Linked DNA regions of Tamandua tetradactyla. The protein of the gene in region 1 binds, or shares a complex with, the protein of each later gene. Links are inferred from orthologs where the notes say so. Each region holds a gene or a part of one and is shown in the gene's direction. Other genes may lie near its edges.

Evidence for each region.
Region 2: the proteins of CNNM3 (region 1) and PTP4A2 are in contact, whole or in part, in a crystal structure (PDB 5K25), measured with the Homo sapiens proteins. The link is inferred for Tamandua tetradactyla from reciprocal best matches to the Homo sapiens genes CNNM3 and PTP4A2. Residues at the interface, in NP_060093.3 of Homo sapiens: Leu390, His391, Phe392, Val393, Phe394, Asp396, Thr397, Glu405, Ala414, Gln417, Val419, Glu424, Gly425, Asp426, Pro427, Phe428, Tyr429; in NP_001356788.1 of Homo sapiens: Met1, Asn2, Arg3, Pro4, Asp69, Gly70, Cys101, Ala103, Leu105, Gly106, Arg107, Arg134, Arg135, Gly136, Ala137, Phe138, Asn139, Lys141, Gln142.

The regions. Positions count from the first base shown.
Region 1 is NC_135343.1:2,804,985-2,808,886, forward strand, and holds the start of CNNM3 (metal transporter CNNM3), read left to right. Parts: upstream 1-1,488; coding exon 1,489-2,698; intron 2,699-3,902. UniProt on the Homo sapiens protein: Probable metal transporter.
Region 2 is NC_135328.1:193,881,575-193,885,476, forward strand, and holds the start of PTP4A2 (protein tyrosine phosphatase type IVA 2), read left to right. Parts: upstream 1-1,207; 5' UTR 1,208-1,600; intron 1,601-1,976; exon of another isoform or gene 1,977-3,902.

The DNA.
Region 1 (3,902 bases):
GGGGAAAGAATAATCTCTTCTGCAAATGGTGCTGGGGCAACTGGAACTCCACCTCTCACCATATACAAAAATTAATTCAAAATGGATCAGACCTAAATAGAAGAGTGAGCACTATAAAACTCTTAGAAGAAAACCGGGGAATATCTCCAGGGCCTTGTAGGAGGAAACGGATTTTTAGATTTTACACCAAAAGCACAAGTAACAACAACAACAAAATAGATAACATGGATTTCATGAAAATTAAAAACTTTTGTGCACGAAAGGATGAACTTGAAGAATCCTGAGATACAGCTGTCAGGGTCACAGCTCTGCGCTTACAATGTAGAAGAGCCACTATTACCACCTTTAAAAAGCTTTTCACAATTTTTTTTTTCCTTTGGGTATTCAAAATTGCACCACGGGTTTACTCCTTCTGCACATTTCCTTCTATGCAGATGTATTTCATGCAACTGTGGTCACAGAACCTATACTTAAAAAAATGTTGTTAGTTTCATGATGTAGGAGAGGGTGTTTCTACAGAACCCTTGAAGTTCCTTTCAAATGACACAGACGCTAAATCTCATCAAAGTCTACTCTAATGTTAGAAAACTTGAAAACGCATAAAAGTGTAAAAAATATACAAAAATCACTTGGTGTGCACCTCCAGTGCTCCTCCTTCCGCTTGCATAACGGTCATTTGTGATGGGTGGAGGTCAGCCCCTGTTGTAGGGGACATCAGACTTCCTAAATAGCTGGACAGCGAGCGGCCACAAGTGGCGTTTCCAAGCCCAGCGTGTCGCCCCTCCGGGCACGTGGGCAGGTCCGGAGGAGCCCAAGGCTCCCATCAGTGCCAGCAACGCGGCGGCGCGAGGGGGCTGCAGGGCGCGGCCTCCACCTGCGGCTTTCCCGGCGCGGAGGTCGGGACGGACGCCGAGCCCTGCCTCAGCCTCCCACGCAGCGTTGAAAGCCCTCGAGGGTCTAAGGCCCTGACCTGAGAACACTGCCCTGGAGTCTCTGCCCGCGAGGCCAGACGCGCTCAGGCCGCGAGTCACACTCAGGTGGCGCGTGGGGGCGCCGCTCGCGCCCACCCGGGTCCCGCGTCCTCGAGCCCCCGCGCCCAACCCGGTCCCGCGTCCCCGAGCCCCGGCGCCCACCCCCGTCCCGGCGCCTCCCGCGCCCACAACGGCGCCCTCGATCCCCCGCGCCCTCCCGGTCCCTGCGCTCGAGGTCTATTTCCGACCCGGCGCAGTGTGGCCCACCCAAGTCCCCGCGTCCTCGGTCCCGCGCCCACCTCTGCCCCACGTTCTCAGCCCCGGGCCCACCCGGCGCCCGCGGCCGCAGCCTCGGCCTGTTTACGTCCCGGCGCAGCCTAGCCCGTCCCTGGGCCCGCCCCCACCTTCTGCCCATTGGCGGAGGGGCCGCGCCGTCCGGCGGCGATTGGCCGGCGGTCGGCGGCGGCGCGGGGCGAGCGGGATAGGCTGCGCGCGCGGTGGGGAGGGGCGGCCGGCGATGGCGGCGGCGGCGGCTGCGGGCCGCCTGGGCTGGCTGCTGGCCGCGCTCTGCCTGGGCCCCGCCGCCGGGGAGGAGGCGCCGGGCCCGCGGGTGCTGAGCTTTTGCCTGGAGGAGGACGGAGCCGAGGGCGCGGGGCCGGCACGGGGGCCGCCGGAGGCCACCTTCCGCCTGCGCCTCCGGGGCTCGGGCTTCGCCAACAGCTCCTGGCGCTGGGTGGCCCCTGCGGGCGCGGGCTGCGCGGACGGCGCCGCGGCCCCCTTGGCCGGAGCGGGCGGCTGGCGGGCGCTGCTGTGCCTGCGCGCCGGGGCCGGGCGCCCGCAGTGGGCGCCGCTGGCCGCGCGCGGGGGTCCGGGCGGCGCGGCGGCCGAGGAGGCGGCGCCGGCCTGGGCGCTAGGCCTGGGGGCGGCCGGGCTGCTGGCGCTGGCGGCGCTGGCGCGGGGCCTGCAGCTAAGCGCGCTGGCGCTGGCGCCGGCCGAGGTGCAGGTGCTGCGCGAGAGCGGCTCTGAGGCCGAGCGGGCGGCGGCGCGGCGCCTGGAGCCCGCGCGGCGCTGGGCCGGCTGCGCCCTGGGCGCGCTGCTGCTGCTGGCCAGCCTGGCGCAGGCCGCGCTCGCGGTGCTGCTGTACCGCGCGGCGGGGCAGCGCTCGGTGCCCGCTGTGCTGGGCAGCGCGGGGCTCGTGTTCCTGCTGGCCGAGGTGCTGCCGGCCGCCGTGAGCGGGCGCTGGACGCTGGCGCTGGCCCCGCTCGCGCTGGGCCTCAGCCGCGTGGCCGTCCTGCTCACCCTGCCCGTGGCGCTGCCCGTGGGCCAGCTGCTGGAGCGGGCGGCGCGGCCCGGGCGGCTGCGGGAGCGCGTGCTGGAGCTGGCGCGGGGCGGCGGCGACCCCTGCGGCGAGCTGGGCCGGGGCGCGCTACGCTTCCGGACGGTGGAGGACGTGCTCACGCCACTCGAGGACTGCTTTATGCTGGACGCCAGCGCCGTGCTGGACTTCGGCGTCATGGCCAGCATCATGCAGAGCGGCCACACGCGCATCCCCGTGTACGAGGAGGAGCGCTCCAACATCGTGGACATGCTCTACCTCAAGGACCTGGCCTTCGTGGACCCCGAAGACCGCACGCCGCTCAGCACCATCACCCGCTTCTACAACCACCCCCTCCACTTCGTGTTCAACGACACCAAGCTGGATGCCGTCCTGGAGGAGTTCAAGCGAGGTAGGGGCCGCGGCGGCGGGGCTCGGGTGCGCGCCGAAAGGACTCCACCCCGGGAGGGCACCGCGCTGCGCGCTCCCTGGGCCCTTTGCAGGTTGGTTTTGGGGCCCCTTGGCCTGCTGGGGACAACCGCACCCCCTCCGGGTTAGCCTCCGGGCCCAGATGTGTCCATCCGTCTCCCCACATCATCCCCTCCGGGTCACTTCTGCGTGCCCGGTCTCCGGGTACTCCGGGATGGAAACCAAAAAGGACCTATTGAAGAATGGTCTCCCCATGAGCCTGGGGGACAGAGTTAGCCCCACCGTGCTGTCTCCGGGGCACTGCTCAGGTCACTGCGGCTCTTCCAAGTGCAGTGAAGAGACTTACTTTAAATACTGTTTTTTTTTTCAGAAGATTTTGGGGGGGGGGACTTATACTCTGATTTCTCCAGAGGCGCCTGTCACTGGACAGACTTAATGTCCCTCCCTTGACTTTTTTTTTCAGCCTCTGCTTTTCTCGGGGTCAGGTCTTTCTAGCTTCCCCTTAATTCTGCATCTTTGTGCCCCTTTCCCGTGCGGGTGACGGGGAGTGCTGTGGGCTCCTCTGCCGCCCTCCCCACCGTCAGGTCCCGCTGTCAGGACCCTGGGCCGGGCCAGGCCAGTGTGGCACGGGTGTCTGAGCGCAGTGGTGGGTGCCCCCACTGCCGCAGCCTGGTTGGGCAGGAGGCCGGCTGCGCAGGGGTTCGGCAGAAACTGCCCATGCCAGCCCCAGGCCTGGGGAGCCCTGACCGGCCTGTCCCGGGGACCCTCCTGGCTGCCTGGTGGCGGGGAGGAGGAGCAGCAGGTGCGAGGAGGGCCGCCTCGGCGGTGCAGGCTGTGACCGTGGGGTGGCCACGGGGTGGCGGCGGTGCCGGCGGAGTCGCAGCCGGTACGTCCCATCGGGCCGGAGGCAGCCCTGCGGCCCTCATCTGTCAGCGAGCGTGGCTGGTGCAGGTCAGCCGAGAGGTGCCGCCAAACCTGGAGGCGCGGGAGCCTTTTCTTCCAGTCAGGCCTCCAGGCGTCCTCTTTTTGGGGGACAGTGCGGAGCCCTTGGTCGCGTTTTGAGGTGTGGTGAGAAGGTGCCGCTGGCACAGCTCCGAGGCTTCCTTGGGCGGCCGTGGGGCGTCTGCGCGGTGGGGGGCGGGGGGGTGTCTGCACTCGAGGAGCTTCCGGCCGTGGCGATGCAGGCG
Region 2 (3,902 bases), on another chromosome or scaffold:
TGTGCTGTAGCTTGATGTGGCTGAGTCATAAGACCTTTCTTTTTACTGCTGATCCCTAACGGAAGCCTCCTGGTCAGGAGCAATGCCCCAAGTCTACCTTGTGGGAAAGGCCTAATGATGACTCTCCTCCTAGGGCTGGATGTACATTTATGTGGTGGTGAGGTGGCAAAGACATTAGCCCTAGGGGCAGGAGCCACTTCCAGAATTCACCCCATCTAAGGCCAACCCTCACCCCACCCCCACCTCCCAATCACCCCTGGAGAAGGCTTTCTACTTCCTGCCAAACCAGCCTCCTGTGCTTCTTTCTGACTGCCATCTGGCAGTGGCCCAGTCTCCCAACTCACCAGTGACGTTTTCCAACTAAAACGCAAGTCCGCGGGGTCTGGCAAAGAATTTCTGGCCCACTTCCAAATACAAGAGGTCAAAGCCTTGGGCCAGAGTCTGTAGTCTCTAGAATAATTCCCTGTGTTAAAAGGGACATTAGTTTAGAAACCTTGAAATTGAGGGTCTCCTCTTATCAGGCATTTTTCATACATTATAATACTGACACGTGAAAAGAGCCCCATAAGGTAGCTGGTTATATTTATCCCATTTAATTGTTACGAATACGCAGAAAGAGTAAATGGCTTGTTCAAGAACCCACATTAGGGAAGTTCGAATTTCGGTAAGTCAGGGACCGTTCTTAGGTCTGATTTGCGCGCGCGCGCGCGTGTGTGTGGCGGGGTGAGGTAGGGGCACAGAAATATCCTTCGCAAAGACATGCAAGCCATCTGTTTGGGGCCTCGAAAAGGGCAGCCTAAAACTGAGCTGCTCTGGTTCGCTCTTCTGAGTTGGAAATCCCTGAGCAAAGGGCTCGGTCGCCATTTAGTTCCAATAGCATCTGGTCCTAGGACAAAGCGGTGAGAAAAAGTCCTTCACCTTCGTGGGTCACACTGCGGTCACAGCCCTTGCCCCTACTCAGGTGCGGATGGGCGGAGCGCAGTGTGGGCGAGTGACTCAGACCACATTCTGTTCCCCCCTCCCGGGTCATATGGACGCGCCTTCCGCAGTCAGGAGTGTAGAGCGGAACGAACCACGAGGAGGAGCAGGGGAGGCGCCGAGGGCAGTGGGTCAGCGCGAGCCGGTGCGTCAGCCAGTCAGCAGGCGCTGAGGGCGGGCCGACGGGTGCGCGCGCCGCGCCCCGCAGCGCCCCCTGAGGGGCGGCGGCGGGAGCTGGTTCCGGCTGCGCGCGCAGCGGTGGTGGCGACGGCGCAATCCGCTGGTCTGTAACCGTCGTCTCTCCGGTAGCGGCTGGAGCGGTAGCGGCGGCCGGGCAAGGCACAAGGCGACGCCATAGGACAGCGGCGGCAGCGAGGGCAGAGGCGGCAGCAGGAGACGCAGCGGTAGCCGCAGCAGCAGCAGCAAGACGGACTCGTGGACACGCGCCGCCGCCGCCGCCGCCGGGCCGGGCCGGGTGTCGCGCGCCGAGGCTGGGGGGGAGTCGTCGCCGCCACCGCTACCGCCGCCGCCGCCGCCGCCGCCGCCGAGGTGACTGAGGAGAGAGGCGCCTCCTCGCTCCCGCCGCCGCCAGACTTCAATGCCCAGTTCCCAGCTCGCCGGCGTGAGTGCTCCCCTCACGGGCGGCCCCCGGGCGGGCTCCCGGGCCTCGGGGAAGGGGGGGGCGGGAGGCGCCGCAGCCATTAGTGCAGGCCTGAGACACGTCCCCGGAAGGAGGGCCGGGTCGGGGGTGGGGGTAGCGCGACCGAGAAGCGTGGAGAACGAGGTGGGTAAGTGAGTGAGAGTGTGTTTGTGGGTGTTTGTGAGTGTGTGGAAGAATATTGTGTATGTGGGAAGTGTGAGGAGAGGGAGTGTGGAAGGGAGTGTGAGTGGCGGGGGAAGAATGAGTGTGTGAGTGGGGGCAGAAAGTGTGGATGGGGAGAATGTGAGTATCTCTGGAGGGTGTGGGGGGAAACAGTGACGGGAAAGAATGTGAGAGTAGGGGAGAGTGAGTGAGTGTAGGGAGAGTAGCTGGGAGAAAATGTGGATGGAGAGACTGGGGGAGAGTAAGTGAAGAGGTGAATGCGAGCAGGCGTGTGGGAGAAGAGTGTGTGTGTGAGAATATGAATGTGGAGACAGAGTGAGTGTATGAAAGGTGTGAGAAGGTCTGGGGAGGTGGGTGGCAGATGAGGGAGCGTGTAAAAATGTGCCTGCTTTTGCCCAGAGTAAGGCAGACATCCTGGAGGACCCTTCTCTTTGGTCTTTGTGCTTGGTATAGTGAATTCTGGTGTTCTGGGTTAGGGACGCCTTTTCAGGAGCATCCCTTCCCTGGATCTTTGGGTAGACGGAAAGGATATAGGAGTCGGTTCCCTTGACACTATAATTTGGGATTTTTTTTAGAAAGGGTGTCCTTTTTTCTTTTCCAGTTTTTACCCCCAATGTTTTACCTCCTCTCCTTTTGTCACCGTGAAAGTGGCTTAAGTTGCCAAGTTTATCATAAGGTTTCTGTGGTAGTCTAGGGCTCTGAGAGCTACAGGCAAGAGACTAGGGTCCTTCTATCGGCAGGACCCTAGTGTCTTGCCTGTAGAGTATTCAAAAGCATAGACTCTACGGTGTAAGTACTGCTAGTTCTTTAGGGGGAAAATATTTCATTGTTACATAAATTGAAATAATATATTTAGGTGTGGCTCCTTCTGGAGGAAAGCTCATAAGAAATAATAATAATGATGATGAAACCATAACATGGTGCTGATGAGCCATAGGATAGTTGATTACTTCCTGGTGTTTGTGAAGAAACATATAAAATGACCTGCAGTCCTAGGGTCCTTGTATGCATTTTGCAAATGCTTGTTTGATACCGAGTCACCAAACCTTAACCACAACCAGATTAAGATATGGTAGCTGTTTGGTGCCATGCAATGTATTACATAGTGGTTTCAGACAAGAGGTAAGTGAAGTTATGCACTGTTAAATATGAAAAAAAAATAGGGACACAGAATGAGTGACACATTATTAGGGCTTCAGAATCACTTGTCAGTATGCTTTTGTATTAGTGAAGATGGTGAGAAATGGTTTGCCAGTATTCTGACCCTGACATTTAAAAAATGTTTCATATTGAAGACTGAATGGCCCAGTGATTGTCAGGGACTTTTTGCAAAATCCTGTGGTGTAGAAGTAAGGGTTCTTGATGAAGAGTATCTTGATAGGCATTTTGCACTTTAATGGTGGAAAATCTCATAGAAGTTTTTTGAGAGATCTTTATAAGGGTGTAGGCTTCCATCTAGGCAGTCTTTCAATATTATGATTACCCGGGTAGGGTGGTCCTTTTAGATATTAGACTTATAGAATTACAGGCAAAAGCATTTATGTAATGTAATTAGAAGCCAAAAATTATATTTTTCTTAGTCTGATTTCCTTTGTCATGTATGACATTGATCCAGAGGGAAGTGTCCTTTTTCTCAATCTCTAGCTGCTTTCTGCTTTTAGAAATAGTAAATATTACTATTCAGCAGGAAAGGGATTAAATAGTGCCCTACTATCATACCAGGTGCTTTTTATAGTCCCTCATTTACAATTATGGCAAAGTTGGTAGATATTCTCAATTTGCATCTATTCAGATTTAGAGTGGCTTCTACTTTCCTGGCACTAGGGATACAGTGATGAGCCTTCATGGATTTACGGTGGAGTGATGAGATGAAGAGATACGCTCAAAGGGGTTAGGTAATTTTTTCAAGGTCACACAGTTAATAACAACTGGAGCTGGATTGAAAACTCAGATTGGTCTCACTTTACCTTGGTTTTGCCACTAGTCCATTACTACCCTCTCAGTAGCTTGTCTCACTTTGAGGTTTCTCATATACACAGTGCTTTATGATTTGGCAGCTTGTACAGATGAGAGGTGTTGGAGTTAGTGCAGAAGACTGAAT